Linked DNA regions of Mus musculus. The protein of the gene in region 1 purifies or fractionates together with the protein of each later gene. This does not show direct contact. Links are inferred from orthologs where the notes say so. Each region holds a gene or a part of one and is shown on either strand. Other genes may lie near its edges.

Region 1 (14,853 bases):
CACCCTGATGCCTGCTTTTCTGGCAAAGTGAACAACTCCAGCCTGATTGGCTTAGGGTACACTCAGATCCTAAAACCAGGTATCAAACTGACATTGTCAGCCCTACTGGACGCAAGAACATCAATGCTGGCAGACACAAGCTTGGCTTAGGACTAGAATTTCAAGCATAAATGAATATTGTAAAATCGTTAATTTTGAACTATTTTGCAACATAGCTACCAATTTAGTGGACTTTTAATATTGTATGTTGGGGATGCGAGAGTTGATGAATGCCTCTCCAGGCTAAGGATGACTCAGCTTTAAGGTGTTTACCATTTCAGAGGTACAGCAGAAACCCCATTCCAGAAAGGGTCCTTTCTAGCTGTAGGTGTGGGTTGGGGCTTGGGGAGGAGCCTCTAGAGATGCCAGGCTGCAAATGGAAGCTGGGAATGTGTGGACCCTTTGTAAATCTGTATCCAGTCCCCAGATGAAATTGTGACTTCCCAAGCATTGAACCCTGGTGTCCCGATCCTATCTGCTCAGAAGTACGTACACACCTTCGTGAAAGGAACATTTTTTTAGACAGATCATCATACCCTGTTCCCATCCTAGCCCATCAGTTACCTGTTTTACACCAAAAGTAGTCTTTAGGTGTGGTATTTTCTTTTGTGCCATTTTAGGGTGGAGAGGGTGGGCAAGATGGAGTCAGTCAATCAGGACTTAATTCTTCCTTGTGTTGTGTGTGTGTTTTTCTTCCTCCTTTTTGTTTTTTTAAAATTTCTCCCCCCCCCCCCCCCCCCATTGCACCAGAGTATGAAATAGCTTCCGGGTTCTCTGGCTCTGATCTGGGCAGGTGATTGTGGTCACACTCTGACAACACTAGGGGTCTAAACTGACTCCTCTTGTAGACTTACCATTATTATTATTATTTTTTTTTTAGCAGTTTAATGGGTACATTATAGAGTCTTCCATTTTGAGTGGAATTAGCTCCTCCCCTTCAAACGCTGTAATTAACATCACTTAAAATAAAACTTGAGAAAAATACTGAAATCTCAAAACGAAGCAAAACCAAAAAAGGGAACAGTCATCATTATCACTACTACAGAGAGAGCATTGGTAAAATGAAATACAAATTGTGGAATATGAGCTGGCAAGATGGCTCACTGTGCAACAACAGTGCACAACAGTGGTTAGAATGACAAATGTCCCCATAGGCTCAGATATTCAAAGTCGGTTCTAGGTAGGTGGCGCTGTTTTGGGGTGTTCAGGAAGTGCAGCCTGGCTGAGGGAGCACATCACTTGTGGGCTTTAACTTCCAGTTTCCCTCTCTGCTTGGCACTCGCTGTTAAAGATGTGATCTCCCAGCTTCCTGCTCCTCACGTCATGCCTGACACTTGAAGCCATGCCTCCACCCCACAGTGATGGCTTCGTTCTCAGTGGCATAAGCCAAGATACACACGCTCTCTTCCTTAGGTTGCCCTTGGTCATGGTGTTTTAATCACAACAACAGCAAAAGTAACTAACACACACTCACACTAATACACACACTCAAATGAATTAGTTAACATTGGAAGCCAGTTCAGTAGACAGAGCAGCGGGTGTTGGTGACTCAGAGTTTTGTGTACCAATGGTTTCCAGGAAATACTGGACATATTGCTCACTGCAGAGAAGGGGGTATATGCTATGGGATGCCATGAGAATTCCCAGTTAGAACCAGTTCTAGAGTTTGGGCTTTGGTTATGTGGTAGGAAAGGAGGGTGTGTTGTGGGCAATGTGAACCCTCTGGCTGGGCTTATGAATAAGCTCGTGTTTAGGAAATGCGCCTAGGACAGTGTTGTGGATAGCCCTGGGGCTAATTATACCCCCAAACCTTAGAAACCGCAAGTTCTAAAGGGTCTCATAGATGGAGAAGATGGTAGTGCAGCGGTAGATCTGCCCAATCTAGGCGCACAGCATGTATTCATATTAATTGAGTTGTGTTTTCATTGCCAGGGCATATTTGGGTGGAGATTTACTGCAACTACTACTGATCTTCTTGTCTCAGCCTCCCGAGTAGGGGACAGGCAGGTGTCACCATGTGGACTGCACTCTTTGCACCTGATGTCAGATTGCCCCAGCAGGGTTTGCTGACTCAGTACACCTTGGACCTTTATCTGAAATCAGTTGGTCATAGCTGAGTGGGTTAATTTCTGGACTCTCAATTCAATTCTATTTCATCAGGTATTTATTTCTCTAAGGCAGGCTCTCTCTGTGTGGCTATCTGCGGAGCACTCTGTCTAGATCAGGCTGACCTCAAACCCACAGAGAGCCTCCTGCCTCCATCTTTCCAATGCTGGGGGTTAAATACATGCGCCACCTTCCCTGTGATCTGTATGACTTTAATATATAAATGCTTTTTCCCGACATCATTTTATTCAGTAGTTCATCTCCAAAACTTTCACATTTTAATCTCGAATTCAGTTGATTTAAAATAAGCCAGGATGAACTTGCTGCACGCAGGGTGGGGGTTGGGGGTGGGGGTGGGGGTGGGGGTGGGGGTGGGAGTTGCTAAAAATCAAGAGCACAGCTGCCGAGCCATAATCATTACGATTTTGGATGATCACAATGACGAGTGCAGATATATAGTAATCTCTAAAGTTTCAAATTTATGAAACTTCAGGCACCCACTTTAATATTTCAGAATAGATGCCACGCAGCAACATAAAAAACAGGGATAGATGCAGGAAGGAATGGATGATCTTTATTTTTTTCTCCTCTTCCTCAGCAACTTACATACAATAAATAACGGTCGTGTATACAGGATTTCTTGTGGGCCTTTTAATTGCATTATAATGGCGACTGGGTGATAATTGCACAGGGATATTTTTTTCTAATATTTTTCTCATTAGCAAAGATCGTTGTTAGGGAGACCAGACATAAAGAGGGACAAACTGGGAGTCTATGTTGGTTTCCTACATTTCGTTGGGCAAAGCGTCATTTCCTTGCCACGGTCTTGCGTCTTGCATTTTTCCCTTGTTAAGTATGATTTACCAGAACCCAATTCTGGCTGTGTTGTTTGAAATAGGGTCTCACCTTACAGCTCAGACTGGCCTCAAATTTACAATCCTCCTGCCTCAGCTTCCTGAATGCTGGAACTATAGGTGAATGCCACTTTCCCTATTTTGCCACCCTCTTACACAGTTAACAATTTGGGGGAGCAGCATCACACACATATAAAAACTAAAAATTCTGTTTAACCGTGTTGGCATCCATCACAGAGAATAAATCACTGCCCCATACTCAAACGACTCCCAGGTACCCATTACTAGAAGTTTCTAAGTCACAGGCTCCTTTAAGTCTTGTTCCCAAGGTCGCAAGGAAAGGAGAGTTGGGACTCGGGGGCAATTTCTGCCGCATTCTGTCTCTGCGCCCTTGCAGAGCTTCCACCGTGTTGGGCCAGAGAATCCGGAGGTTCATCACCTCCGTGGTCCGTCTCAGGCACTATGAGGAGAGCCCGGGGAAGAATTTGCCATTTGTAATGGAAAACGAGTAGCGGTTCCTGGCTATGATAACTATATACTTTGGATCTGGGCGCTTTGCTCCTTTCTCTACAGCAAGGCACCAGTTAGTTAAGAAATAAGGATGTTTGATCCCTTTAACAGAATTACTGATGTTTAAGGGACGCGATCTGAAAATTGGGTTGAACCCTTGAACTCTTCTTCTTGATAAGACTGTGAGTAAACTAATGACATTAAAAATGAAAAAGAGTCTGTGTTTCCAGGGGATTTGCTTCTTGAGGCGTGAACTCATTTTCAGAGTGATTTCTTCGTAGTCCTCATCTGCATTTTAAGATCCTTTATTGAAATCACCCAGAGGCGATCGTGCATTCTTCAAATCCCACCCCAAGCCCTTTCACATACAAATGTGAAAAACACGACGGACAGTGAAAACATACAGCATGTGCCTGAGTATTAATGCTTTTGAGAGAATGGCTTGTGATTGCTCAGACAGAGACTGTAGGACAGCCCCGTGACCTTGTCAGAAAAGGACCCCTGAAAGTGAGCCTTAGAGGGAAAGAATAGAAGAATCCGTCACTGATACCCCTGAGAATTCAAATGAATCAAGGAACACAGGGTGGGTGTAACAAACTGTGTGGTCGTCTCCATATGCTTTTCCATGCTGTTGAAAAAAAAGAGCATCATTCACGACCCAAAGTCTGGAAGTTCTGCTGTTCCCCAGTAGATGGCGATGTTGCACAGCAAGCTCAGTTACATCATTGCTCTGGCGGTCCTGTGCAGCTCAAGTATTTTTTAAAAAGTCATATAATTTCCCCCTACACTTATAAAAGTGAGTACTTAAGAAGAAAAACATGTAGTTGAAGGGTTGTTTTTCTATCCAGTCTCTTCAGAGAAATTTCATCACGTGTGACATTCCAGGAGGTTGCTTTCAAAATCCCAACATACGAAATGCATCTCGCAAGTCATCGACTTCGTACAAGGGCTGTGGAGAAAGAGAGATGATATAAACGGAGTGAAGGGCTTTAAATTTGATCTCTGGAAAGGAAAGTGTCTAAACGAAGTGGGTGGCTCCAGAGGAAAGTAAATTGCTTGAGGACCAGGAAAAAAAGAAGGGGCGAATTCTGCCCTGGAAGGAACCCCACCTGAGGGGAGGTTAGCAAAAGGAAAGAGTTATGAAGACTGAGCGAAGAGGAGGCAAGAGGCAAGCGTCTAAGTGGAAGCTCTGTCCTGGGTAAAGCAGAAAAGAAAACTGGGTTGTAAGTGCCTTGAAGTAATCATTGTATAAAATAATGCATAATACAAACAAATAACTAAGAGGCTCCAGGTGTGTGTGTGTGTGTGTGAGTGTATGTATGTGTGTGTGTATGAGAGAGAGAGAGAGAGACAGAGACAGACAGAGAGACAGAGACAGACAGAGAGACAGGCAGACAGACAGGCAGACTTACCAAAAGGATGCGCCGAAGTTGTCTGGTTAGCCGGACAGAATTTTCATGTAGCCCTTCCCAGGCTTTGAAAGTTCTTTCACGATTTTCTACAAATGTATTCCAGCAGTAAAAATAGTCTTAAAAGAAAAATAAATAGATAAATAAGAAGGAGGTGTGTGTGTGTGTGTGTGTGTGTGTGTGTGTGTGTGTGTAGGTGAAGGTCAGAAAGTCAGAGTGTTTTAGGGGTTAAACTTAAGGTACAAAGGCAAGGGCCCCCACGGAACCATCTCTCTGACCACTATCCTCCTCCTCTCCCTCCTCAATTTATTATTTGACTGCTAAAGGTGGAATGCAGGGCTTTGCACATGCTGGACCAGAGTTCTGCCACTGAGCGCACCTGTAGCCCTGCCAACTTCTATCTCTCAAATTCTGATAATTCTGAGATTGATGTATACTTGTAATTCCGCCACTCAGAAGGCAGAGGTCGGAGAATTGCAAGTTGAAGGTCAGCCTGGGATAGCGAGATCCTACCTCAAAAAATAAAGTAATACTTTTGATATCCAGGACGAACTGAAGGTCTTTAAGTAGCACCCCACCCCCAGTTTCCCCGCTGACACTCACTCTGAGTGGCAACTCAGACCGCTCTCTCCAGTGTGCAAGTCTCACCTTTGAAGGTCATGATCCCGATCTGGACCCCAGCGCGGTGCAGTCTCCGCAGCCCCTCAGGCTCAGCCTTGCGGTCTTCACAGAAGTAGAGGCGCGCGGTGAAAATCCTCAGGCTGAGGTTAGGGTTCCATCTCAGAAACTCAGCCACGTGCCGGGCACAGTCATAGCACGGGCTCCAGGAGGTGAACCAGGTGACGCGGTAACACCGGCCCGGGTCCAGGTCCCAGTCTGAGATGTAGCGTAGGAACAACAATTCCACGTGGCAGCCAGACTGGAGAAAGAGCAGAGAGCACTGGTGACGTGACCTGCATGCTCTCCCACCCAGGCCATTTGGGATGCTTGTGGGGATGTCGCACTGGCTTGACCTGGAACTCATTATGTAGACCAGGCAGTCCTCAAACTCACAGAGATCCATCTGCCTCTGCCTCTGGAGGGTTGGGATTAAAGGTGTGTGCCATCACTCCCAGCATAAAGATAATTCTCTTATTAAGATAGCACTTGTTGGAGTCAAATGGCTTTATTACACTGGCTTTGTTGGGTAAAGGAAAGCTGCACATCTATGGGACAAAGGATACACACCTTGCAGGGATTACCTTCGTGTCCCGGAAGTGCCTGTTTGGACGCCACGTTGTAAAACTGCAAACTGCACCTTGGCCACTAGGTGGCGCCAGAATAATTTGTAAGGAGGGAGGAAAAAGCTTATTGAAGAGATTTCGTCTCTGACTTGGCGTCTGGCGTTTTAAGTGGAAGGCAATTAAGGGGTGTGTGTGTGTGTGTGTGTGTGTGTGTGTGTGTGTGTGTGTGTGTGCGCGCGCGCGCGCGCGTGTGTGTACATGCTATGTGATGCCAGTGACTGTAATAACTGCAATCGTAATAGGCCCATCTCCTATTGCGAAAATCGTTTGTCGAAGACTGAAGATAGTTTTTCTTTTACTCATCTTTTTTTGCACTATTTCCTTAGCAGTAAATCAAGCTGGTGTTGTGTGCGAAGAGAAAGTACCACTTGATCAAGCTGTCTATAAATACAGTGTGTCATGACTCCAAGTAGAGAAGGAGAAGCCCATGGAAGCCAATCTGCAATTTGGTGAACTCTCTTAGAAACGCAGTTCTTTCAGGCAGCCGAAGGATTATCTAATTACCCAAACAACAGAGACTTCTCTCTGGTCCCTGAAGGAAACTCATTGGGTTAAAGGTGGTCGGTCATTGGCCTCTCTGGTCTTTTGGGAACAAAATTGTTTGGGAAATAAAGTTGAGTTGATGTCATTTTACCTATTTTTTTCCTCATTGATTTTCAAAAATTCTGAAGATATAATTTGTTTTTCTCACTCAAGAAAGTGCTTGAGAAAGAACCCAGAGCTGAGGGATTAAAGGGCTGAGGGGCTGAGGGGCCAGAGGCGGTTAGGGGAGGGCTCAGGGGCGGGGCTTGTCTGGCAAGGCAGATCCTTCATTTCAGCCCTAGCACTGTGGAAATACAGGCATGCACCATTATTTCACTCTTTGTTTGCTTGTTTGTTTGTTTTTCCAGACAGGGTTTCTCTGTGTAGTCCTAAAACTCTCTCTGTAGACCAGGCTGTCTCAAACTCAGCAATCGGCCTGCCTTGGTCCCCTCAACATTTGGCACCAGGGGCAGCCATAGCTTTAGTGTCAACAGCTGCCACCCACCCCCTCCCCAACCCCGCAACCCCCCCCCCACCTTGTTGCGAAGGTGGCCGAAGTCCAGTGAGCAGGAGGTGGCACTATCTCTCCTCTTCACCACGTAGCAGAGGTAGGTCTCATGCCGTCCCTTGGCCCAGCGGACATTTTTGAAATGGTAAAGAAACTTCTTTTGCTTCATCAGAAGGCTGTGAGTTGGAGAAGAAAGTCAGGGCAAGGCTTCTCTGTCACCATAGTCTTCCTTCAGCTCTGATTATTATTGTTGCAGCTGCTGATGGCTGGACCTACAGCCATAGGCAAGGTAGCTGAGCGCTTCAGCACCGAGCTGCATCCCCAGGCCTACTTTGATCATCATGATGTTTTAAATCTTATCATTATATAGGTTAAACCAGAAAGCATAGTCGTGCTTCCTTTTCTGGATACCTGAGACATGCTCACTTTAAAATCCTTCCCTGCCCACCCTCTTCCCTTTCCTCTTCCCCTCCCCCCTCGCTGCAACAGTCAAACTAGGTAATTACCCTTTATTACTTTTTATTTTTTAATGTATTTATTTATATAATTTATGTATGACTGCTCTGTGTACATGCATGCCTGCATGTCAAAGGAGGGTGTCAGATCCCATTGTAGATGATTGTGAGCCATTATGTGGTTGCTGGGAATTGAACTCTGGTCCCCTGCAAACACAGCCAGTGCTCTTAACCACTGAGCCATCTCTCCAGCCCAGCCATCTCCCTAATCCTCCTACTGGGCTTTGGACATGGTCTTAGACACCTTTAACCTTCTGCCCTCCTGTCTCCCCGCTAACCCAGTAGCATCACAGAACCAGAAGTCTTCCAAAAGCAAGTTATAAAACATGGCAAGGGCCAGGTTAGGTTGCTTGTGCCTGTAACCTCAGCACTTGGGAGTGCGGGGGTGGGGGGTGGGGGGGTGGCGGGGGGGAGTGGGGGGAAGGCTGGGGGAGGGAGGTTGCTGTAAGTTTGAGCCCAGCCTGAGCTCCACCACAAGAACGTAGCTCAGTAGCTCAGCAGTTGCCTATCATGTATGAGGCTCTAGGTCTGACTCAGTACAAGACAAAGCAAAGGAAAACATAGAAAGTCACTCTCTACTTCCAGCACTTGAGCCACAGCGAGGAAGGAAGACAACAGGGTATCAAAGCCACTGAGCTCCTGCGAAAAGAAAGGTCACTCTCTTCCTTGAAGAGCCATATTCTGTGGGTGTCCTGTCTCTATCCAGGAAAAGGAATGTTGCAGATGGGCCTTGCTGGGGGCGTCCTTCCTCCCTCTCTAAGCACAGGGTCATATGAGGTCATGTCGACTTGCGATCACGTTGCTACATAGTATCTATCCATTCTTCATTAAACAGAAGTATAAGAAATAGTTGCCTCTGTGTCTTTAAAAAAAATCACATTTGTTTACTATCGTTGTATGAATGATATGTGTGTAGGGACATACACATACCTGTGGAGGTCAAAGGGCAACTTGTGGAAGTTGGCTCTCTGCTTCCATCATGTGAGCTCGAGGGATCAAACTCAAGACATCAGGTTTGGCAGTTTATGCCTTTACCTGCTGAGCCGTCTGACAAACCACGCCCCCCTAACCCCCACCCCTGCTTAGGTCTTTGGGTTTTCATTTTTGGATTTTGCTGGGTCAGTTTTGTTGATTTTATTTTATTTATTTATTTTTATTGTTTGTTTTGAGATGAGAACTCATTTAGCTCAGGCTGGTGGGGAATTTGACAAGGAGAACTCTCCTGCCTCCTCTACTCCCCTGGTCTTGGGACAACAGGCTTGTCCCACCTACTTGTTGGGGACTTAACCCAGGGCTTTGTGCATGCTGGCAAGTTCTCTAGTAGAGCTACATCTCCAGCCCCCGAGGTTTTTTTTTTCTCGTTCGTTCTTTCTTTCTTTAAAAATACAGGTTTTCTGGGGACTAGAGAGATGGCTCAGCAGTTATGAGCACGAACTGCTCTTCCATCAGGCAGCTCACAACCACCTGTCACTCCAGTTCCACCAGGATCCGACACCTCTGACTTTTGAGGGCACATGCATTGACACACACACACACACACACACACACACACACACACACACACACTTAAAAATAATTTTTAAAATCTTTGTGGAGTGTGTGCGTGTGTGTGTATGTGGTGGGGGTAGAGGCAACACATACTACAGGATACGTGTGGCGAGCAGAGTACAACCTTGGGTGTTGGTCCTTGACTTCTGTCTTGTTTGAGATAGAATCTCTTGCTCTCTGCTGTGCGCCCTGGGCTAACTGGCTCATAAGCTTCCTGGGGTTCTCCTTTCTCCACCTCTTATGTTGCCTTAGAAGCACGGGAATTACAGGTGTCTGCTTTTGGACCCCTCAACTCAGGTCCTTTTGCTTTCATGGCAAGCGCTGTTCCCACAGAACCATATTCCCAGCCCTCACGTTTCTTAAAAAAAAAAAAAAATTACAGTTCCTGTTAAAGCGGTGGACATGAGCCAGGAGATAAAACGGATGATAAACAACTGTGTCGCTCACTTGTCGACACAGCACCGCCACACAGTGGTGATGGATGGAAGTGCAATGATTTTTTTTTTAAGAGCTAGTTAGGAATTTGAATACGGTTTTGATGCAAGAGAATTGAAACCGTTTTTCACTTTTGTTGTTGTTGAGATACAATTTACATAGTGAGCTCCACTCGCTTAAAATCTACAGCTCCGTGAATGCCGGCAGGTCCGCAGCCCAGACTGCCAGGGCCATCAGAGGAGACATTTCTAGGCTTCTTAAAGCTTCTATGTCGCTATTGGCTGTTCTTTCTCCTCTTACCCAGGCAACCGCCGACCTGCTCTCTGTAAATGTAAATTATTTCTAACTTTCTATAATTTCATATAAATCACGTTTCCTCCTTCCTGTGTAACTGCTCTCACGGAACATAGTAAATTTTATATTCACCCAAATATCAGAAGTTGGCTCCTTATTCCTGCCGAGCAATATTCTATTGTATGGGTAGAACATGTTTTGTTTATTCATTTATGTGCTGATTGAAATTTGGATATGTTCCGCTTTGGTGCTGCAGTGGTTAGAGCCACTATAAATAACCATATACTATCATTGAATGCATGTTCACACGTTCACAGCTCATGCTTTAATGATAGTTCAACACACGTGACAGTCCCTGACTTTTGGAAAAACAAAATTGTTTTGGGGACATGCTCATGCTGCGGGATCCATGCTAGTCTGGAAATCTCTATGTTGCTGCAGCTGGCCTCGAACTCATGGTCCTCCTGTCTTGGCCTCTAATGATCATAGCTTTATTTTGAAATAGTAATTTACCATGATAACGATCATAGTACCTCCATGTCTACATTCATCACTAAATTATAAAAACCCTTTAGAAGCTGGGCATGGTGTGCACACCTTTAAATCCAGAACTTGGGGGCGAAGGGGGGCAGAGGCAGGTGGATCTTTCTGTAATGGAAGCCAGCCTGACTTTCATGGAGAATTCTAAGCCACGGGGGCTATGTGATGACACAGCATCATTATCATCATCACCACCACAGTACAGGTAAACTCAGCATGTTATAATAATAAGCACAGGTATCTCTCTAATCCAGCCAGTTTTAAACAGCTTAAACTTCATCTCTTAGCAATAAATTCCCTTTCTATTTAACTAAACTTCCTGTGTTACCTAGATGGGAAAAGTAGAGAATCTTTTTCAGTGGGTTGAACATGGAGTCTTGTACCTGCTAGTGAGTGCTGTGCCACAGAGCCGTACACACAGCCCTAGAGAACTTTTCCTACATACTGTGGGTAGCAAGTGTACATACGTGCTTATCTCTCTCTTTCTCTCTCTCTTACTCTGTGTGTGTGTTTGTGTATTTATGAGTGTGTATTGGGGGTGGATGCTGAAATTATGAAGGAAAGGTATCCTTGGAGTTTAGAAAGGATGTGTCTCAAATAGAAGAGTTGTGTCTGAACCACAGGAAGATGTAATAGACTGTTTCTATTTTAAGATTCCAGCCACGGTGGGAGGAGCTGCACAGTCCTGACCTGTGGACTGGGCACCTCCATCCAGCACTCCCCTCAACTCTAGCTAGGAGCCTATTTCCAGCTCCCTCTCCTCGGGATGTCCCTCCCGGTAAGGAGGACTTTGCTAGGTGGTGTCCCAAACCTGTAGATCGCCAGCTGCTGAGACAGCTGTGCTCCTTGAGGCAGAACCTTAGCTGCTTCCCCAGCAATGCAAACCAGACTCAAGGGGTTAAAAATAATCCCAGCCTAGTAGCAGGGCTGCCTTGAGTTACCCGCTGCCCTTGCTCCAGTCCATGCCGTGCCATCCTGTGTCTCTCCACTGTCTTGTTTGCTTCTCCCTGAATCTCAGCCTCGTCTTTGCTTTGCATTTTGCCATGCTCATGCATTTCTCTCGGACCCTTCTCCATCAGGACATAGATCTCAGATTTGGTTTCAAAATTCACTATAAACCCAGAAGCAGCTCATGCTGTCTGCCTGCCTCCTGTGAACATTTGTTTGTTTGTTTGTTTGTTTGTCTGTCTGTCTGTCTGTCTGTTTGCTTTTTGAGGGCTCAGGATGTAATTAAGTGGCAGATTACTTGTCTAGCATGTGTGAGGTCTTCAATGTGGTCCCTGATAGGGGTGAGGGAGAGTGGGAGGAGGAAAGGGGGAGGAGAGGGAGGAGGAGAAGGAGGAGAAGGAAAAGGAAGAGGAGGAGGGGGAAGAGGAGAAGGGGCAAAAGGAGGAGGAGGAGGGAGAAGAGGAGGGAAAGAGATGGGGAGCAGGAGAAGGAGGAGGAAGAGGAGGAAGAGGGGGAAGAGGGGAAGGGGAAGAGGAGGGGGAGGAGGGAGAAGAGGAGGGGAAGAGATGGGGAGGAGGGAGGAAGAGGAGGAGGGGGAGAAGAAGAGGGGGTAGGAGAAGGGTAACAAAAAGAAAGAAGGAAGACAAGAAAGGAAAAATCTGGAATCTGAAGAACACCCTGCTACCATTAGCTATATTAACTCCATATTCTAAACCTCATAGCCAAACGGAAGTGAGCTCAAGTGTATGGGCTTTAGGCATAGTGACTCACACACTGGCAATAAATGTAAAAATCAAGAGAGAAATTTCTGATAATGGCTCATCATGAGCTGCATATAAAAGCTTTCAAGAAGCTAAGAAATCTCTGCATAGATGAATTAAACAGTAAAAATGTCACCAAGTGTCTAACAGTTGAGTCTATAACACTAAATTGCCTGTCTTAATGAAATTCTCTCCTTCAATAGACACCATTGTAATGAGTTGCAAGCAATTCATCTCAAATGTTTAGTTTTTTTTTTTTTTTTTTTTTTTTTGAGAAGTACAAATCTTCTTGCTATAACTAAATAATTCCTGTAAAGACTCCCCATGCGAGTCTTAAGATGTTGGATATTTGCCAAATAATTGTGAAAATAACCACTACTGTTTTTAGTAAGGAGTTGCTACGACCTCTTTGTGGCGCGGGCCTCTAAGGCTTCGCTGTTATTACCACAAGCCGGCTCTAGCTCTGCCCAAATCTCAGGACAAGTCAAGGCTTCCTATCTCTAGCAACACAGAGAAGAGAGAAACCGGGGGAAGGGAAGAACTTCGTGGTCAGAGTTAGGTCCAAAACCCAAAAGACCTGAGCAGAGGGTGGCAAGCAGACGAGGAAATTCGCGCACTGACAGGCAAAGCCTCCATCCAGACAGGCAGCCAGCACTACTGGAGCACATGCACAAGCAGATGAGACTGTCTTGTTACCTGTCCATATCGGTCTCCAGCGTGACTTTCTTGACTCCCTCAAAGTCTTAGGCCAAAGGAAGCTTGCTTCAAGCAAGGCTGCTTCAGTGCTGTTGTGTGACAGAGCACTGGCCCCTGGCATTCAAATCTGAGCTTGCTCTTGTGGGCTCCTCCCCCACGACAGCATCACTACCACCAGGTATCCAACATCTGCCTCCTGGGTTGGGTCCAGTAAAGATGGGCGGGGCTGTGGTGGGCAGAGCCACACGGATTAAATGATTGGGGGGCGGGGGGCAGTTCTGCTCATGCTTAATGTCCAACTTCCTTCGAGGCTGTTCCTCTAAAAAGCCAGCCCAGGTACCACAGGTAACAAAGATCAGGAGACAATAGCACTGGACACTTTTCACATTGGTATCATGATAATGAGCTCTGTGAGTGTGTGTGTGTGTGTGTGTGGGGGGGTCCCAGGTATCACACCTAAGGTCTGTGCATGCTTCCTAATTTTAAAATTGTGATAACAAGAATGATAGCAGTCATAGTGACTTAAAGTGGCCTTAAATGCATCTTGTGCTTCTTGAACTTACAGTATCTGTTCCTTCCGTTTGTTACACTCAGTTTTATGCCTCAGTAGAGATGGGGGTTGACCACCACAGCATCCAGAGAGTGAACTTTAGCCTCCTAATTCTCTAATATATTTTTCTTTTTTTAAAATGACATTATAAGATAGCTAGAAAGACTAGTTGCTTGCACCAAAAAGTGATTTATTTTAATTTTGTGTGTGTGTGTGTGTCAAAAAGTATTTTTTTTTTAAAAAAGAACTCTTTTTCCTCATTAAAAATACCTTACTGGAGGCCTGGAGAGCTGGCCCAGTGATTAAGAGCACTTATTTCTATTGCAGAGGACCAGCAGGCGGTTGAAAGCCACCATGTGTGGTTGCTGGGATCTGAACCCTGATCATCTGGAAGAACATCCTTTGCTTTCTTCCTTCCTTCCTTTCTTATACTCTTCCTTCCTTCCTTCCTTCCTTCCTTCCTTCCTTCCTTCCTTCCTTCCTTCCTTCCTTCTTTCCTCCCTCCCTCCCTCCCTCCCTCCCTCCCTCCCTCCTTCCTTCCTTTCTTCCTTCCTTCCTTCCTTCCTTCCTTCCCTTCCTTTTTTTAGATAGGGTGTCATTATGTAGCTCCTCTGGCTGGTCTGGAACTTTCTATATAGACCAGACCAGTCTTGAGCTAGAGACTGGATCCCGTTGCATGCACACAGCACATGCCCCTGCCCCTATTTTGTTGCTGTGAAATCTCTCTGTGCAAAGTCTCATAGTTCAGGACTTGGCTTACTCCCTGGCAGTTTAGCCTTCCCTGGATATCATATCTGAAATGTTAATGAGCCCCCATCCTCCTTCTTCCTCTAATTAATTTCCTCTGCATTATCACATCACTATCAGAGACACAATTTCCCTCACTAGTGAATTAATGAATTCCTGGGAAAAAAATTTCAGGGCACCGGGAGTAACCAGCACCAGCCGTGACATTACAGGGTTAAGGGAACCCAGGTGGTGGGTGGACAAGTCCCTCTAACTTGTCTCACAGGATGAGGCCCGGACCTTTGCCCTACTTTGGCCAATTGTCCAGGGAATGACATACTGAGACACACGTACACAGCCTCCCAAAGGGCCGACTTGATGGATATTGGCAGAGATGTTGTGATTTCTTTACATTTTAAAAAATTATATATATATTGCTGTGCTTGGCAGTGGAGGGGTATATGAGGCACGAGGGCCAGAGCTTATGTGTAGATGTCAGAAGACAATTTACAAGACTTGGTCCTCTCTGTCCACCATGTAGATCCTGAGGCTTGAACTCAAGTAGTCAGGCTTTGCAGCAAGGACATTTATCCATGGAACCATCTTGCC
Region 2 (15,521 bases), on another chromosome or scaffold:
TGTGAGCCAGACGAAACCTTTTCTTAAGTTGCTTTTTGTCAGGATTCAATCACAGCAACAGGAGAGTAACTAATATAAATTGTATTCCCTGTGACCAAAACACTGTGACCAAAACAAACCTTTGCACTCTTTACTTGCTTTCTGTCAAGTATTTGATCTTAGCATTAAAAAAATTAATACACAAGCCGTTCCCAAACAACTATTACTGGACACTGAGGATGGTAAGACATGCTGCTAGATGCTGGCTGCCTCCCTGAATTTACAGGAGGCACAGGAGCATACTGTATATTCTGTGATAAGAATGAGCGGGAGGAAAGACAGATGAGGAAGTCATGGCGAGAAGAAATGAACTTACAGGAGAAAAAACATGGAGAGAGGAAATAAATGGGGAAGGAACACCAGTGGAACTTGCTCTTTACCTGTTATTTATAGCCAGCTTGCTAACAAAATTAACCTGGGAAAGCATGAAGCTGTCATGCAAAAAGCAGTCTCTTTCAGTATGATCAGAATAATATTCTCAGGGTTAGAACATAACATGAAGCTGCCACAAAAATGAAGGATGCATTTTGAACTCAAGAGTTCAGACTTTCAATAATGTGCCTTACACGCCCAAGAACAACAAAAACAAAAACTGAAAAGGCTCAATTACAAACTGTTTTAACAGGGGGAAGCAGGTAGCAAGAAGTACAAATGATACACATGTACAAGAAAAATACACTCACTCAATAACTCTGAGCTAGCGCTTTATGTGCCTACTAGATAAATGGCAGAAATGTAAGTCACTACAAGCAGTACTATCAGGATGCAGTAAACAGGAGTGCATGGAGCTGAATGAAGGGGTGGCCCCACATGAGCGCTGGCCGCATTGTCCCTGCAGCTAAAGGGACCCCACTCTCTCTGGCTACTCCCCCAATTCCCTGAACACCCATCACACAACTTTGCTCCTAACAGTTGGCAACTGACCCCTCCCAGCCTCCTCTGCCACCCACAGACTCTTCCATCAGGGCTGGGATTCTAAGCCCTCTCTTTTCTCAATGACCCAACTGAATCCACGCCCTCTGATCCAGCACCTCCTTGAGCTTATCCAACTGCTCCTTACACAGTGCTCCCAGGATACTTACACACAGTGAGGTGTTTAAATGCCCACCTCACATCTCAGATCATGAATTCTTCAAGCCCAGATCAGGTCGCAATGATTTTAACACATGTGACCCTTACCTCAGGAAATAGCACAAAGTAATTATGAGTGACAAGGGGAGAGAGAAATGCCACTTGAACAAAGAAGCTCCACACAATATACCTCCAAGAACAAAAACCTGAATACTACCGAAATATCCAACTGAGGAGAAATAATGGAGGGGAAAATGGTCTATTATTCAAACAAAAGCTCACATACGTTAGAGAACAGCATGAAAGCTATGTAGAAAAGAAATGCATGCTTAAAATAAACAACACAAAAGAACCCATATGCAATACTTACAGGTACCCAAGCTGGGAGAATATGAAAACAAAAAAATAGTCCTTAGATACGGGTGATGGTTTTTCCTCGCCTCAAAATCTTTCATACTATTTTTGACAGTTGATTATCATTATCATTAAAATTTATTTCAAAAGTAAGAAATGGGAGAGGTGCAAAACAGAGATTGGTAGAAGCCCCTCCAATCCAAGAAAATGCTGATATTACCCACATCTGACAGGGGGAGTGGGTGTCTGCAATATCACCCAAGCCAAGGGTCTCTGACCCCAATCTGTCTCAAAGAGAATTTCTCTGGTGGTGCAAAGCCAGCCGTTCCCACCGAGCCAATCTGAACTAAATGTGAATTCTTTATTGCAAAACTTCAGAGGTAAAAGAACTTTCTCCCAGACATCTGTGGAATGAGTATTAATGAGAGTGCCCTGGAGTTCAGCTCTGCGCCTATGCGGCAGAAACTTCTCTGCCAAGCCACTGCTGGGCACACCTCTTGATGAGATGTCTAAGCCTGAAGGCATCAAAAAGTGCATTTCCATATTGGGAACATAACTGGTTTCCTCTTTAAGACTTTCCCCACCACCTCCTGTCCACATTGTAATTCTCCTGTCTTCTCAAATGAATTGTTAACATCTGTCAAGGGTAGAAGGCATGCACTGAGGCGCTCTTCTGCCTATTACCAGAAGAACCAATCTCAGCAGAAAATTGCAATCTTCCCACTGACTTGCCCCAAAAAATGAAATTTAATAAGCATGCTAAAAAAATTGTTAAACTTTTAATAAACACTTCCTATTGCTGTATGATAGTTCTTCTTGCTCACCTTAGACCCTGAGTTTCAGAATGGAAAGAACCAGAAGTTGTACTGTCTGACCTCCTCACTTTACAACTAACGGGAAGAACGATGTGCAGAGAGGGAAAGTGACACCCAGATAAGTGCTGATAAAGGCTGGATTAGAACCCCAATCTCTCAGGTCTCCAGCCCCAACTTCTTCACCCCATCAGGCTTTTTCAGCCCCTGGACTCTCTGGAGTCCCTGGCCTAAATAATTAGTATAGCAGAATTTTAAAGCTACTAGAGACCTCGGAGAGAGTCATACTTAATCCCCTCATTAGGCATAGGAGGAAACTGAGGCCCAGAGAGATTAAGTGATTTGCTCTCCATTTTGAGTGGCAGGGAAGAAGTACAGCTTAAGCTGAAAAGCCTGCAGACCAGTGCCCAGGAGAAGCAAGGGTCGTCTCAACTGGGAAAAGCTTAAGTGAATGCAGATGAGTCTAGACCAGGGTGCCTTTGTGGACAGTCCCTGACCACCAGTTTTAGCATCACCCCAAATGCACACCCCCAACTCTCAGGACACTGAGTCAAACACTTGAGTTGGGAATGGGATAGCTTTGCTCCCTTCTGTTCCCACGCAGGGAGCTTCCGTGCTCAGTGGCAGTCGGCTTTGCCAGTGCTGACTATATGCCACAGTGCTTACAATGTACGCTTTCTTCTACATAAGCACATCAACGCAAAGGCTTTTTTCAAAATGGCAAACATGCTTGGGTGTTCAGTGCTGGCTCTACTGCTTCCTGGCTTTGTGAGTTTCACAGACAGGAAACTTGCCTCCCTAGCTCCAGTTTCCCTTTCCATGAAGCAGTCACACCATCTCCCTTTGGAGGATGTGCTGACAACCATACCTGACAACTTATCTGCAAGCAAGTTAGTTCTGCCTCTGGCACACAGCAGACAGACCAGCAGAACAGTCAGGAGCTCCAGCTACAGAATAGGACTGCCTGAGCACTCTCTGGCTAGGTACCTTCAGTGGCTAGGTCTCAGTTTCTCCCTCTGTAAATCAGAGATTAAAACAGTTCCTCATACCGGACATGGCCATGCCTTTAATCACAGCACTCCAAAGGCAATGGCAAGCAGCAGGCAAATGTTTGTGAGTTTGAGGCTAGCCTGGTCTACAGGCCAGCCAGGGTTATATAGTGAGACTCTGTGGGGTCCAGGGAATTCCTCCTGGACTAGAGATGTAGCTCGCTTGGTAGAGTGCTTGCCTAGCGTTCATGAAGCCCCGGCTCTGTCCAAAGCATACCATAAGCCAGATGTGGTGGTGAACACCTGCAATCCCAGCATTTGAAAGGTGGAACAGGAGAGTCAGAAATTCAGGGTCACCCTTGGCTACAAAGTGAGTTTAAGGACAGCCTGTTCTACATAAGATCCTGACTAGAAAAGAAAGTTAGTTCCTGGTAAGGCTGTTATATGGATTTAGTGAAGAGGCAGATAAATAACTAATTATTTTGTGTAAGATTATCACTGTCTTCAAAGAACTTTCACTTATAACTAATTATTTTGTGTAAGATTATCACTGTCTTCAAAGAACTTTCACTTCTATAGGCTCATCTCATCCTCAAGATTTCCCACAGGAGGCCATGTCTGACTGATTATAGAGTAGACTCTATAGATTTAGACTACAGATTCTAGATTAGACTACCACCTTTTCAGATAGGAATGGAAGTAGACCCTGCTGAAAGGAACAGAGCTGTAATTCCAAGACCAAGATTCTGGAGACATGTCAGTCACTGCCTTGGCCTGTCAGTCACAGCCCTAGCTTGAAACCTTAGCTGGGTCTGTCTATCAGATCTGAGTTCTTAGTAAGTTACAAACAGTTAGGTTGAATGAAGACATCTGTATCACCTCTATAAATGCAAAGGCTTTTAAGGAAGTCCTACATCGTCTGTAGTCTGCCAACATTTCCAGCTCCATCCCCTTCTGGTGTCCTGCTCACTCACCAAGTTCGGGCTACACGGCTCTTCTCTCTACTCATCTAATGGGCCTAGGCCTGCACTCACAGTCGCTGCTCCTGCCTTCACTATTCTGCCCTGTCATATGCTGGCTCCTCAACCTTCAGAGCACTAATGCTGGCTCATCAGACTCCTTCCCTGATCACTCAGTCTACAGAGACCCTAAAAGGAGCTATTTACAATGGCGCTGGCCTACAGAAATGCAGTGGAAGTCACAAACTTTACATAGAAGATTAAACTTGGAAGTAGGCACAAAATTTAAGTTTAATAATCTATTATCCTTAATCCAGTATATCAAATGTAATCCATATTTAAAAATTAAGACATTTCATCTTTCCACAATAAGGCTGTGAGATGCAGGGTGCACTTTACACATAAGAAAGAACTTGATGCAGATGGGCCCCCCTTTTGACGTGCACTAGCCATGTGCACAACAGCCACCACGTATGCTCACATGTCCGCGGCGGACCCTGCTGCACTCCCTCACAACACGTCCAGCCATCTGAAGTTCTTGTTTACTTCCTTAGTTATTCTCTGGTGACTCCCCCACCATATTTGCCTTTTCACACAAAAGCAAGAGCCTTGTCTCATTTCTTTCCACATCATATGCTCAGTGGACCAAGTGCATTGCACACAGTAGATGGTCAATAAATATCTGTAACCAAAGAATGGGCCCCTTCTGGTAGTGTTGCTCCACATCTGAAACAATGGACTGGACTAGCCAGCCCAGAACTCCCAGACGAGCACTCATCGGTGACCTTCCCACCATCTTTCTTGTTTCATCACCAATTACATATCTTAAAGAGAAAACTATTATGGCCTCGCATCTGTTATCTGTTGCTTATGTATTCTTTCCCTTTTTTTCTTTTAATGTATTCTTTCTCATCAGGCCTGGAGTCTCCATCTACGGGGTCAGTGTTGTATATATTGGCTAAAGGAAATAACTACCAATATTAGTATTTATGGGCTGTTTTAACTGCAACAAACATTGGCCTAACACTGCTTTTTTTTTCTCTTTTCTTTTTTCTTTTCTTTTGGTTTGGTTTGGTTTCTGAACACGATTTCTCTGTGAGACCCTGGCTGTCCTGGAACTCACTCTGTAGACGAGGCTGGCCTCAAACTCAGAAATCCGCCTGCCTCTGCCTCCTCCCAAATGCTGGGACTAAAGGTGTGAATCACCAACCACCAGACATAGCTAGGCTTTTTGTTGTTCTTTCATTTTGGTTTGCTTTTATTTTTTGGTTTTTCAAGACAGAGTCTCTCTGTGTAGCCTTGGCTGTCCTCTGTAGACCAGGCTGGCCTCGGACTCAATGAGATACACCTGCCTCTGCCTCCCAAGTGCTGGGATTAAAGGCGCCAGCTTCTTAACAGACTCTTACCAGAAGAAGAACTTTCTTCACAACCGACCATAAGGTCGGTACCATGAGGTATCTGTTCAAGATTACAACAACTAGTTAGTAAGGCAAAAGGCATGGAAGGCAACCTGGGGCTCCAAATCCAGGCCTTTTATTTTATTTTATTGTAGTGGTGGTGGGGTGTCTCAGTATGTACCCCTGGCTGGCCTGGAACTCAGTGACCCACTGGCCGCTGCCTCCCTCCCAACTTTCAGGCACTGAGATTCAAGGCAGCCATGGCTAACAGCTCAGGTTCACAGGTTCTTACCGCCTACTCTGGCCTGCAGAGATATCACTTTTTTGTTGTTGTTGGTTTTGGGGGTTTTTTGAGTTTTTTTTTTTTTTTTTTTTTAGAGACAGGGTTTCTCTGTATAGCCCTAGCTGTCCTGGAACTCACTCTGTAGACCAGGCTGGCCTCAAACTCAGAAATCCATCTGCCTCTGCCTCCCAAGTGCTGGGATTAAAGGCACGAGCCACCACGCCCGGCCTAGAGCTATCACTTTTAAACTCAAGTTCACAGGTTCTCACTGCCTACTCTTGACTGCAAAGCTATCACTTTTAAAACATCACACCTTGAACAAAATGCAAGTGGATAAGGTTGGCTTACCCACTTTTTATTTCATCCATCACCCAAAGTCTGCTCCATCATATTATGGCCTCATACATATTCAATCAATATGATCAAGGATCTGTGATCAATATAAAAATACTACCTTTTTCATACTAAGTCTTTAAAATGAAGTGTGATTTACAATTACAGTACTTCCTAATTCAGAATAATTACAGTTTATGGGTCCCAACGCCTATTGCAGCTAATGAAAACAAAGATGGACACAAGAAGCCTCGTTAGGCAGTCAAAAGAGGGACAAAACTCTGAGTTGGGAGTCTGGACACTTGAGCTTTGTAACTGTTGAGTGACCTCAAGAGAGTCCTTTCTTCTCTCTGGGTCACCCGTTCCTCACAAGCACCCTGAGCAAGGAGGTCGAGAGGTCTCTTACCGACCCATTCCAAGCTCCGTCTTCCAAACAGCTTAACAATAGCAGGGAACGTGGGCACAGGTTTCTGCACTTTCAAATGACCTTTCACATACATCCATCCACTTTATAGATTTTAAAAGAAGAATTGAGACTCCGTGACGGGAGAAAGACTTCTCCAAAGCTACACTGACACTTGGTAAAGAAACTGAGGCTCAACACCGGGGGGGGGGGGGGGGCGGGGGTCTTCACAACTGTCTCCCCAAGCCCTGTGAATTGGTAGAAACGAGACGGAAGAGGAGCTGAGGGCTACCGGGTGGGGAACAGAAATCACAAGGCTCAGGTCTGGAGAAGGAAGGGGTCGAAAGGGTCCAGAGGGCTTAGGGGAGTGAAGTGCAATGACAGGATGCAAGCCCGGGTGACATGAGAAGTGAGGGCCAGGGACCGAGGGGAGGCAAGATGACGGGACTCTGTCCCTGCTACCCGAGCGAGGATGAGGAGCCCTCCGGCCTCGCCAACTGCTCTTACCTGGTAGCTTAAAAGTTCGCCCACGTCCATGGTTCCGGACCCAATCAGCACAGGGTACCCTGGTTGCCTCCACTCAACTCCCGAACCACGGGCCGCTCAGAGGCTTTTCCTGACACACTGCCGTAAAGCGCCAGGCCCCAGAACCAATAGAGTAAAAGAGCGCGTGGCCGGTGAGCCCGCCACACTGCCGTAAAAGGACGCGCTGCCGTAAAGCGCGCCGCGTTTTGACAATTCTGCTTCCGCCTGTAACCTGAAGGGGCGGGGAAAGGGGCGGATACTTAGGGGATGAACCTAAAAGCGAGGCCGTTATCCAAGAGTAGAGCAGAGTGCTTGGCATTTCGTGGGTAACCTTAAAGAGCTTCCAGAGACTGGCACTTTTGTTCTTTCATTCTCATTTCACAGATAATTGAAGTTGGCCTGTTGGTGGTGTTGAATGCCTTTAATCCCAGCACTGGGGAAGCAGAGGCAGGCAGAGCTCCGCAGGCATATGTTTTGAGTTCGAGGACAGCCTCGTCTACAGAAACGAGTTCCAGGACAGCTAGGGCTACAGGGAGAGAAGAGGGAGGGAAAGAGGGAGAGGAAGGAGCTGAGGTTTGAAATTATGCGCCCCATAGTTAGTCACATGTGGCTCTGGGGCACTTGAAGTGTGCCTAGTCCTAATAAAGATGTTAAGTGTTAATCAAATGCACAGTGGATTTTTCGTACTTGAACTGGTTCCTTTTTTTTTTTTCACTTACTGGGTAAAGGAAGATATATTATGAAATGAATTTGACTTTCCTCTCATTTGTTAAGCGTACTTAGTAGATATACTGAAATTGTATATGTGGATTTCATTTTGGGGTTCCCATTATGCTTCCCCTGGGCTTACAAAATGGCTTCCGGCCATAGGTGGCTGAGAAACCATTGATATCATGTTTGTTTTTTTCCCCCAGGCTTCTTTGTATTCACTAACACAAGACCCAGTGGCAACTGGAAGATCTCCTGTCTACCCAAGCTGTATTAAAGGGTCTGGGGGTCTGGAGACATGGCTCAGCGCTTAGAACCATTTACTGCTCTCTAGACGTCTACTTCCGTTCCCAGCACCCATGCTGGACAGCTCACAATTGCCTGTAACTCCAGTTCTGGGGGATCTGGTGCTCTCTTCTGGTCTCTGTGCAGACCCACAAGCACACGCATACACACATTTATATATATATAAAGGTTGGTTCCTGGGGAAGGAATTTGCCCATTATTGAGAGATAGTCAAGGCGTTCCTCTTCTGGGATTACAACAGACACCATCCAGAAACCCCATTCAACTACCTCCAACTACACATAAGAAAATTGTTATTCCTCAAACTGCCACAACCTCTCCTCATTATTCTCTCTGTTAGCACTTCCTCTACTGTTCACAGACTCAATCTGTCATTTTGTACTTGATGGTTGACATTTTATGTTTTGACAGCCTCATTAATTGGACTCCAAACTCTCTAAAAGTTGGGATTGAGTTTGTCAACCTCACCCTCGAATCTTCAAAGCCCAGAACAACGCATGACAGAGAAGGTTTCACCGTGGGCTTTGTGAGTGTTGTTAAGGAGAGTGGATTTTATGTTATCTACTTTGGGAAGTTGTTGAGATCGTCAAAACAGGGATGCTTTCTGATTGGGTTTTTGTTTTTAAAGAGTAGCCAATGTAAACTGCTTTTTACAGAGTTCATTTGCATGTCCTTCCCCTCCCTTTCAATTAAGTGTAGATTGTGACCTCCAGAGAGGCAGGACAGAATAAAGGTAACCATGAACAGAACTATTTTCTAGTTTGTGCCTTGCCTCAGTCAGCTTCAATAGGCAGATTTGCAAAAGCCCAGTCTGGAGGTTTGAATAAAAATGGCCCCCATGGGCCCATAGGGAGTGGCACTATTAGGAGGTGTGGCCTTGTTAGAGGAGGTGTGGCTTTGTTGGAAAGGTGTGTCACTAGGGAGTAGGTTTTGAGGTTTCAGAAGCTCAAGCCTGGCTATTGTATCACTGTCTCTCCCTGCTAGCTACAGATCGAGATATAGAACTCTCAGCTCCTTCTCCAGCACCATGTCTGTCTGCACAATGCCATGTTTCCCACCATAACCATAATGGACTAAACCTCTGAACTGTAAGCCAGCCCCAAAGAAACCTTTGTATAAGAGTTGCCATGGTCATAGTATCTCTTCACAACAATAAAACCCTGACTAAGGTAGGTGCCAGGGACTGGGGTATTGCTGTGATAAGCCTGACCATGCTTTGGTTTGGAGGAGTGCAGACTTTGGGATTTTGGATTAGAAAAGCAGTTGAATGCTTTAAGTGGGGCTTAATGGGCCATCTTAGTAGGAACATGGAAGATAGTGGTACCTGGAGTGATTTGAACCTATGGGGACCTGCCTCAAGAGGTTTCAATGGAGAAGAATGTTAGTGTGTGGCCTAGAGACTGTTCAAGGAGAAATGGGACAGCAAGAAGTAGAGTGGAGCTAAATCCTCTATTCAAGGAGATAATTTTTTTTTAATCTTGATGTTAAATGGAATGAAGGGAGCAGTGGCTTCATAGCAAGATCCCACCCAGCTAAGCTGCCAATTTATGAAAATGAGTTAAAGAAAAGGTCAGGGCCAGGTGTGATGGTGCACCCCTTTAATCCTAGCACTCCAGAAGCAGGGGCATACGGATCTCTCAGTAGGAGGCACATGCTTCTGGAGATTCCGCTGTCTCCAGCTCCCATCTCAGCACAAAGCCTTGGGATTACAGGTGCGCGCTATCATGCCTGGCTTTACACGGGTTTAGGGTTTCAAACTGAGGTCTTCAGGCTTTCAAGGCAAGTGCTTCACACGGGGAGTGATCTCCCCAGCTCCAGCATGGAGCTCTGGGAACATATACTGTAGTTAGGGAGAAAAATCTTAAACAAAAAATATTGTCCAGGGTTAAAATCCCAGGTGTGTACATCATGCCCAGCAGGCGTCAATAGACACTCGCTGACTAACGGCCCTTGACCGCACCAGCCTGGGAATCTCAGGCCAGTGCTTGTGGAGGCCCAAACTGTCTGCAGGTGTGCACCTGTTCTGTCCCTGCTCTGTTAGTGCTCTCCAGGGAGCCTCTGCACGGGTTCTTTATTGCCACCTGCTAAAGCACTTGAAAGGGAGCCTGGCCCCTGTCACTGTCATTATTGCTCTTCCCAGGGCACTATTCCCAGCTACCCCAATAACTGCAGGCCCCCAGAGGGGCTGTGGCATCTGCTTGGATTCTCACAAAAGCAATGTCATACTGCACCTTGCAGAAACGTGGGGTACAGGCTGTCATCCTCTGGGATGTACCAGTTTGGGCTCCGAGGCACTTCCACTTGACTCCCTGTCTTAGTCAGGGTTTTACTGCTGTGAACAGACACCATGACCAAGGCAATTCTTAGAAAGAACAACATTGAATTGGGGCTGGCTTACAGGTTCAGAGGTTCAGTCCATTATCATCAAGGTGGAAGCATGGCAGCTTCCAGGCAGGCATGGTGCAGGCAGAGCTGAGAGGCTCTTCATCTGAAGGCTTCTAGGAGAAGAGTGACTTCCAGGCATCCAGGGCAAGGGTATTAAAGCCCATACCCACAGTGACATACCTGCTCCAAGGAGACCACACAAACTTCAACAAGGCCACACCTCCTAGTAGTGCCACTTACTGAGCCAAGCATATACAAACCATCACATTCCACTCCCTGGCCCCTATAGGCTTGTTCAAACACATACATCTATGGGGGCCATAGCTAGCCATAGCATAATAAAAATGTACACTTAGTCCAACATAGTCTATACCAGTCTTAACAATGTTAAAAGTCCAAAGCCCCTTCCGAGATCCATCCAAAGTTTTTTCTCCTGAGCTGATGCCACTCCCTGTTAGCAGCTTTCCCTGGCAGGTATCCTGTGGTTCTGGCATCTTTAACATCGTAAGGTCAACTCCAGCTTCACAGCTTCTTGTTCCAGTGTCTTTGGTCCACACATGATCTGGGCTCCTCCAAAGGGCTGGCATCACTTCTCCAGCTCTGCCCTCTGTAGCACTCTAGTCTCTGGTTAACTCCATTCCACTGCTGCTGCTGTTCTTGGTGATCATCCCATGGTACTGGCATCTCCAATACACTGGGATCTTCCACTGCAACTAAGATTCACCAATAGCCTCTCATAGGATTTCTTCATGGTGCCAAACCTCAACTTCTTTGCATGACCCCTTCAGTCCTGGGCAATCAGTTGCAACTGAGACTGAATCTTCACCAATGGCCTTCCATGGCCTCTCAAAGTGCCCAGCCTCAGCTGCTCGCCATGACCCCTTCATTCCTTCAAAACCAATACCATCTCAATTATTCTTACATTACCAAGTCCAGCTGCAGCACAAGGTACAACCTTGGCTATCTCTGGAACACAGATTCTCTTACTCTCAGAAAACACTTCCCTGATTTCATTTCAGTGATGCCGGTCTCTTTGTAATCAACACTAATTTCTTAGCTCCAGCTAAGCTACACCAATTGTCACAGTAGTCTTGTCTATTCTTGACTCTAAATCCAGAGACAAATGACCAAAGCTGCCAAGATCTGCAGCTTGCTGGAGCTGGAACATGGTCCCCCTCATTCTATTACCAGCTTTCTTTTTTTCAACTCTTACTGCCTAAACTTGGCTGTCCTGGAACTTGCTCTGTAGATTGACTTTGAACTCAGAGATATGCATGGCTCTATCTCCTGGATTCTGGAATTAAAGGCATGTACCACCATGCCTGAACTTAAGCTTTTTCCCCTAGAACTTACTCTGTCCCAGGCTGGCCTTGAACTCAGAGATCTGCTTGGCTTTGTCTCCTGGGATTAAAGATGTGTACCACTGTCTTAGTCAGGGTTTCTATCCTTGCACAAAACATCATGACTGAGAAGCAAGTTGGGGAAGAAAGGGTTTATTCAGCGTATACTTCCACGTTGCTGTTCATCACCAAAGGGTCAGGACTGGAACTAAGCAGCTCTGAATCAGGAGCTGATGCAGAGGCTATGGAGGGATGTTACTTACTGGCTTGCTTCCCTGGCTTGCTCAGCTTGCTCTCTTATAGACCCCAAGACTAACAGCCCAGGGCACCACCCACAATGGGCCCTCCCCCCTTGATCACTAATTGAGAAAATGCCTTACAGCTGGATCTGGTGGAGGCACTTCCCCAACTGAAGCTCTTCTCTGTGATAACTCCAGCTTGTGTCAAGTTGACACACAAAGCCAGCCAGTACAACCACCATTTATGGTCCTAATATTTTCATGGCCAGTGTCCCTCAAAAACCAGTTCAAAAGCCTGTGTCTTCCAGACTCAGGATCTGGATCACAAGTGTACCCCCATTTCTGGATTATACTTCATTCCGGATTAGAAGTCCAAACTTCCCTAGATCAATTGCAAACACCAACAATAAGCTTAGCTGGGTGGGATCTTGCTCTGAGATCACCACTCCCTCAATCTTTTATCTCCTTGAACATAGGATTTGGCTCCACTTCACTTCCTGGTACCCTTTATTACTTGAATCATACATTTTATATGCTTCCTTTTTCCGCTTGTTCTTTTTCATTAAAACACTCTTTATAAAACTAAACCAGAGAACAAAGTCTCTACTAGACTCTTTTGAGACTTCCTTGGTCGATACAATTAATATAAATCTTTACCTTAGCCTCAGATAGAATCTTCAGACAAAGGCAAAAAGCAGCCACCACATTCTTCACCAAAATATCACAAAAGCAATCTCTAGGCCACATACTGAAATTCTTCTTCACTGAAACCTCTTGGGCCAGGTCTACACAGTTCAAATCACTCTCACCAACACAATCTTCCATATTCATACTAGGACAGACCATTAAGCCCCACTTAAAGCATCCCACTGCTTTCCAAATCCAAAGTCTCAAAGCCCACATTCTTCCAAATAAAAGCATGGTCAGGCCCATCACAGCAATACCCCACTCCCGGTACCAACTTCTGTCTTACTTAGGGTTTTACTGCTGTGAACAGACACTGTGACCAAGGCAACTCTTATAAAAAAAATTTAATGAGGACTGGCTTACATGTTCTGAGGTTCAGTCCATTATAATCAAGGTGGGAGCATGGCAGCGTCTAGGCAGGGATGGTGCAGGAGGAGCTAAGAGTTCGACATTTTCATCTGAAGGCTGCTAGAAGAAGACTGGCTTCCTGGCAGCTAGGATGAGAGTTTTAAAGCTTAAACCCACAGTGGTACACCTACTCCAACAAAGTCACACCTACTTCAACATGGCCTAATAGTGCCACTCCCTGAGCTGAACATATACAAACCATCATATTCGTATATCTCATCTCTTCCCTCTACAGCATCTCACTCTATGGAAGTTATATACGATTTCTGCCACAGACCAGGCAGCAGACGTTGTATTGATACCCCATTTCACCACCTACTCCCAATTGTCACACAAACCCTCCAAGATTCTTCCCTTTCCCATAGCTCCCTTCTTTCTTCCTCCCTTCCCTCTCCCCCTCCTCTCTTCCCTCCCTCCCTTCCCCTCTCCTCAGTACTTCATTTCACTTCTTCCTTCTTCCCAACCCTGCCACTTTATCATCATTTTCCTGTTACCCATTAGGCATAGCATTAGGTCACCATACTCAAAGTCCTAGATCGGGCCCTGATCCCCAAACCCAACAGAGAGAAGGTTCACAGCAGTCTCTCAGAGCAGTGGGGTAAAGATAGCTTTACTTTTTTCCCCTTTCCTCTTACTTTACTTTCTCAGTTTCTGTCTTGAGCCAATATTAAATATCACTGACTGAATAATTTTGAAAATCACTTTCATTATCACAGGATTCATAAAGTTACTTGCAAGCCAGTTACTTGAGCTTTGTTGGTTGCATGCATCTGTCTGGATGCCTAGGTCTCCCCAGCACACAGCTAACCATCAATTTCTCCCCATGATGAACAGCCACTGTTGGTGTTTTAGGAATAGGTTATAGCACGTGTTACATTTTATATGTATAGTTATGTTACACACTTTTATTTCTACCATCATGGTATTTCAGAAAGGATTTCGGATGGCTTACAAAAGTTCTTGAATCACAGTTAGGGAGCATAAGTTAAAAAAGAAAGCACAAGAGGAGGGAGCGTGTAGGGAAGAGAATGGAGAAGAGACAGATGAAAATAAGACAAAGAATGCTTGGTGTCTACCCCATGCTCTGTGAGGCCATGTGTTGGGTTTCAGCCACTTACTAGCAAATACTCTGCCTAAATCTCTCCCTTTAATGCCAACCAGCCCACCTAGCAGTTTTCAATGAATGCTTCTGCAAAATAGTTTTGGAAATTGGCTCCAGCTGTAGAAGACCAGTGGCCTTGGACCAGTTGATGGGTAGAGAGGATGGGCAGGGAACACCACTTTCATGAGTTTACTTTCTTTCTTCCTTCCTTCCTTCCTTCCTTCCTTTCTTTCTCTCTCTCTTCCTTCCTTCCTTCCTTTCTTTCTTTCTTTCTTTCTTTCTTTCTTTCTTTCTTTCTTTCTTTCCTTCTTTCCTTCCTTCCCTCCCTCTTTCTTCCTTCCTTTCTTCCCTGTCTCCCTCCCTCCTTCCTTCCCTCACTCCCTTCCTTCCTTCCTCCTCCTCCTCCTCCTCCTCCTCCTCCTCCTCCTTCTTCTTCTTCTTCTTCTTCTCTCTCTCTCTCTCTCTCTCTCTCTCTCTGACACATTAGTGCATGAGTGTGTTTCCTACATGCATGTATGTGCCTAGGGTACATGTGTGGTACCCTCAGAGAGCAGAAGAGGACTTCAGATGCTCTGGAACTGGAGTTACAGGTAATTGTGAGCCATCATGTAGATGCTGGGAAACCACACCCAAGTCCTCTGCAGAAGCAATGAATGCTCTTAACTGCCGAGCCATCTCTTCAGCCCATATTGGAGCTGTGTGTTCTTTTCTGAGACAGGGTCTCACTCTGTAAACTTTGATAGCCTGGAACTTACTTATGTGGACCAAGCTGGTCTTGAACTCAGAGATCTGTGCACCTCTGTCTTCCAAGTGCTGAGATTAAAGGAATGTACTACTACACCCATCTATTGTGGGCAGTTTTTATGGAGGAACCTAGTATAAAATGTATTTGATCATATAAAATTGTGTATTTATTCACCTTAGAGTTATTCTGCTACTGCTTTGCGGTGTTCTGCAAGCAGGAAAAATTCAGAGTTCTTTATCACCAACTGGAAGGTTGGGAGCAGTGTAGTCACAATGCCTGTGAGCTGTCAAGCAACCTGGGCTGAACACTCACAGTGCACCAAGTGCAGTCACAGTGAACGATCTTTATGTTCCCCAGATATGTTTGTACTTGGAGAATTTCCTATCTACAAATAATGAAATAAGATCATACAGCCTCCTTAGTGAAAAGTTTTCAT

What was found.
Region 2: the proteins of Aicda (region 1) and Ctnnbl1 purify together in Homo sapiens (affinity purification with western blotting; 3 studies listed by BioGRID, with this or other methods). This does not show direct contact. The link is inferred for Mus musculus from reciprocal best matches to the Homo sapiens genes AICDA and CTNNBL1.

What each region holds. Positions count from the first base shown.
Region 1 is NC_000072.6:122,552,025-122,566,877, reverse strand, and holds Aicda (single-stranded DNA cytosine deaminase), read right to left. Parts: upstream 13,070-14,853; 5' UTR 12,977-13,069; coding exon 12,969-12,976; intron 7,408-12,968; coding exon 7,260-7,407; intron 5,838-7,259; coding exon 5,567-5,837; intron 5,038-5,566; coding exon 4,922-5,037; intron 4,459-4,921; coding exon 4,405-4,458; 3' UTR 2,698-4,404; downstream 1-2,697. UniProt on the Homo sapiens protein: Single-stranded DNA-specific cytidine deaminase. Involved in somatic hypermutation (SHM), gene conversion, and class-switch recombination (CSR) in B-lymphocytes by deaminating C to U during transcription of Ig-variable (V) and Ig-switch (S) region DNA.
Region 2 is NC_000068.7:157,729,186-157,744,706, reverse strand, and holds the start of Ctnnbl1 (beta-catenin-like protein 1), read right to left. Parts: upstream 7,307-15,521; 5' UTR 7,178-7,306; coding exon 7,148-7,177; intron 1-7,147. UniProt on the Homo sapiens protein: Component of the PRP19-CDC5L complex that forms an integral part of the spliceosome and is required for activating pre-mRNA splicing.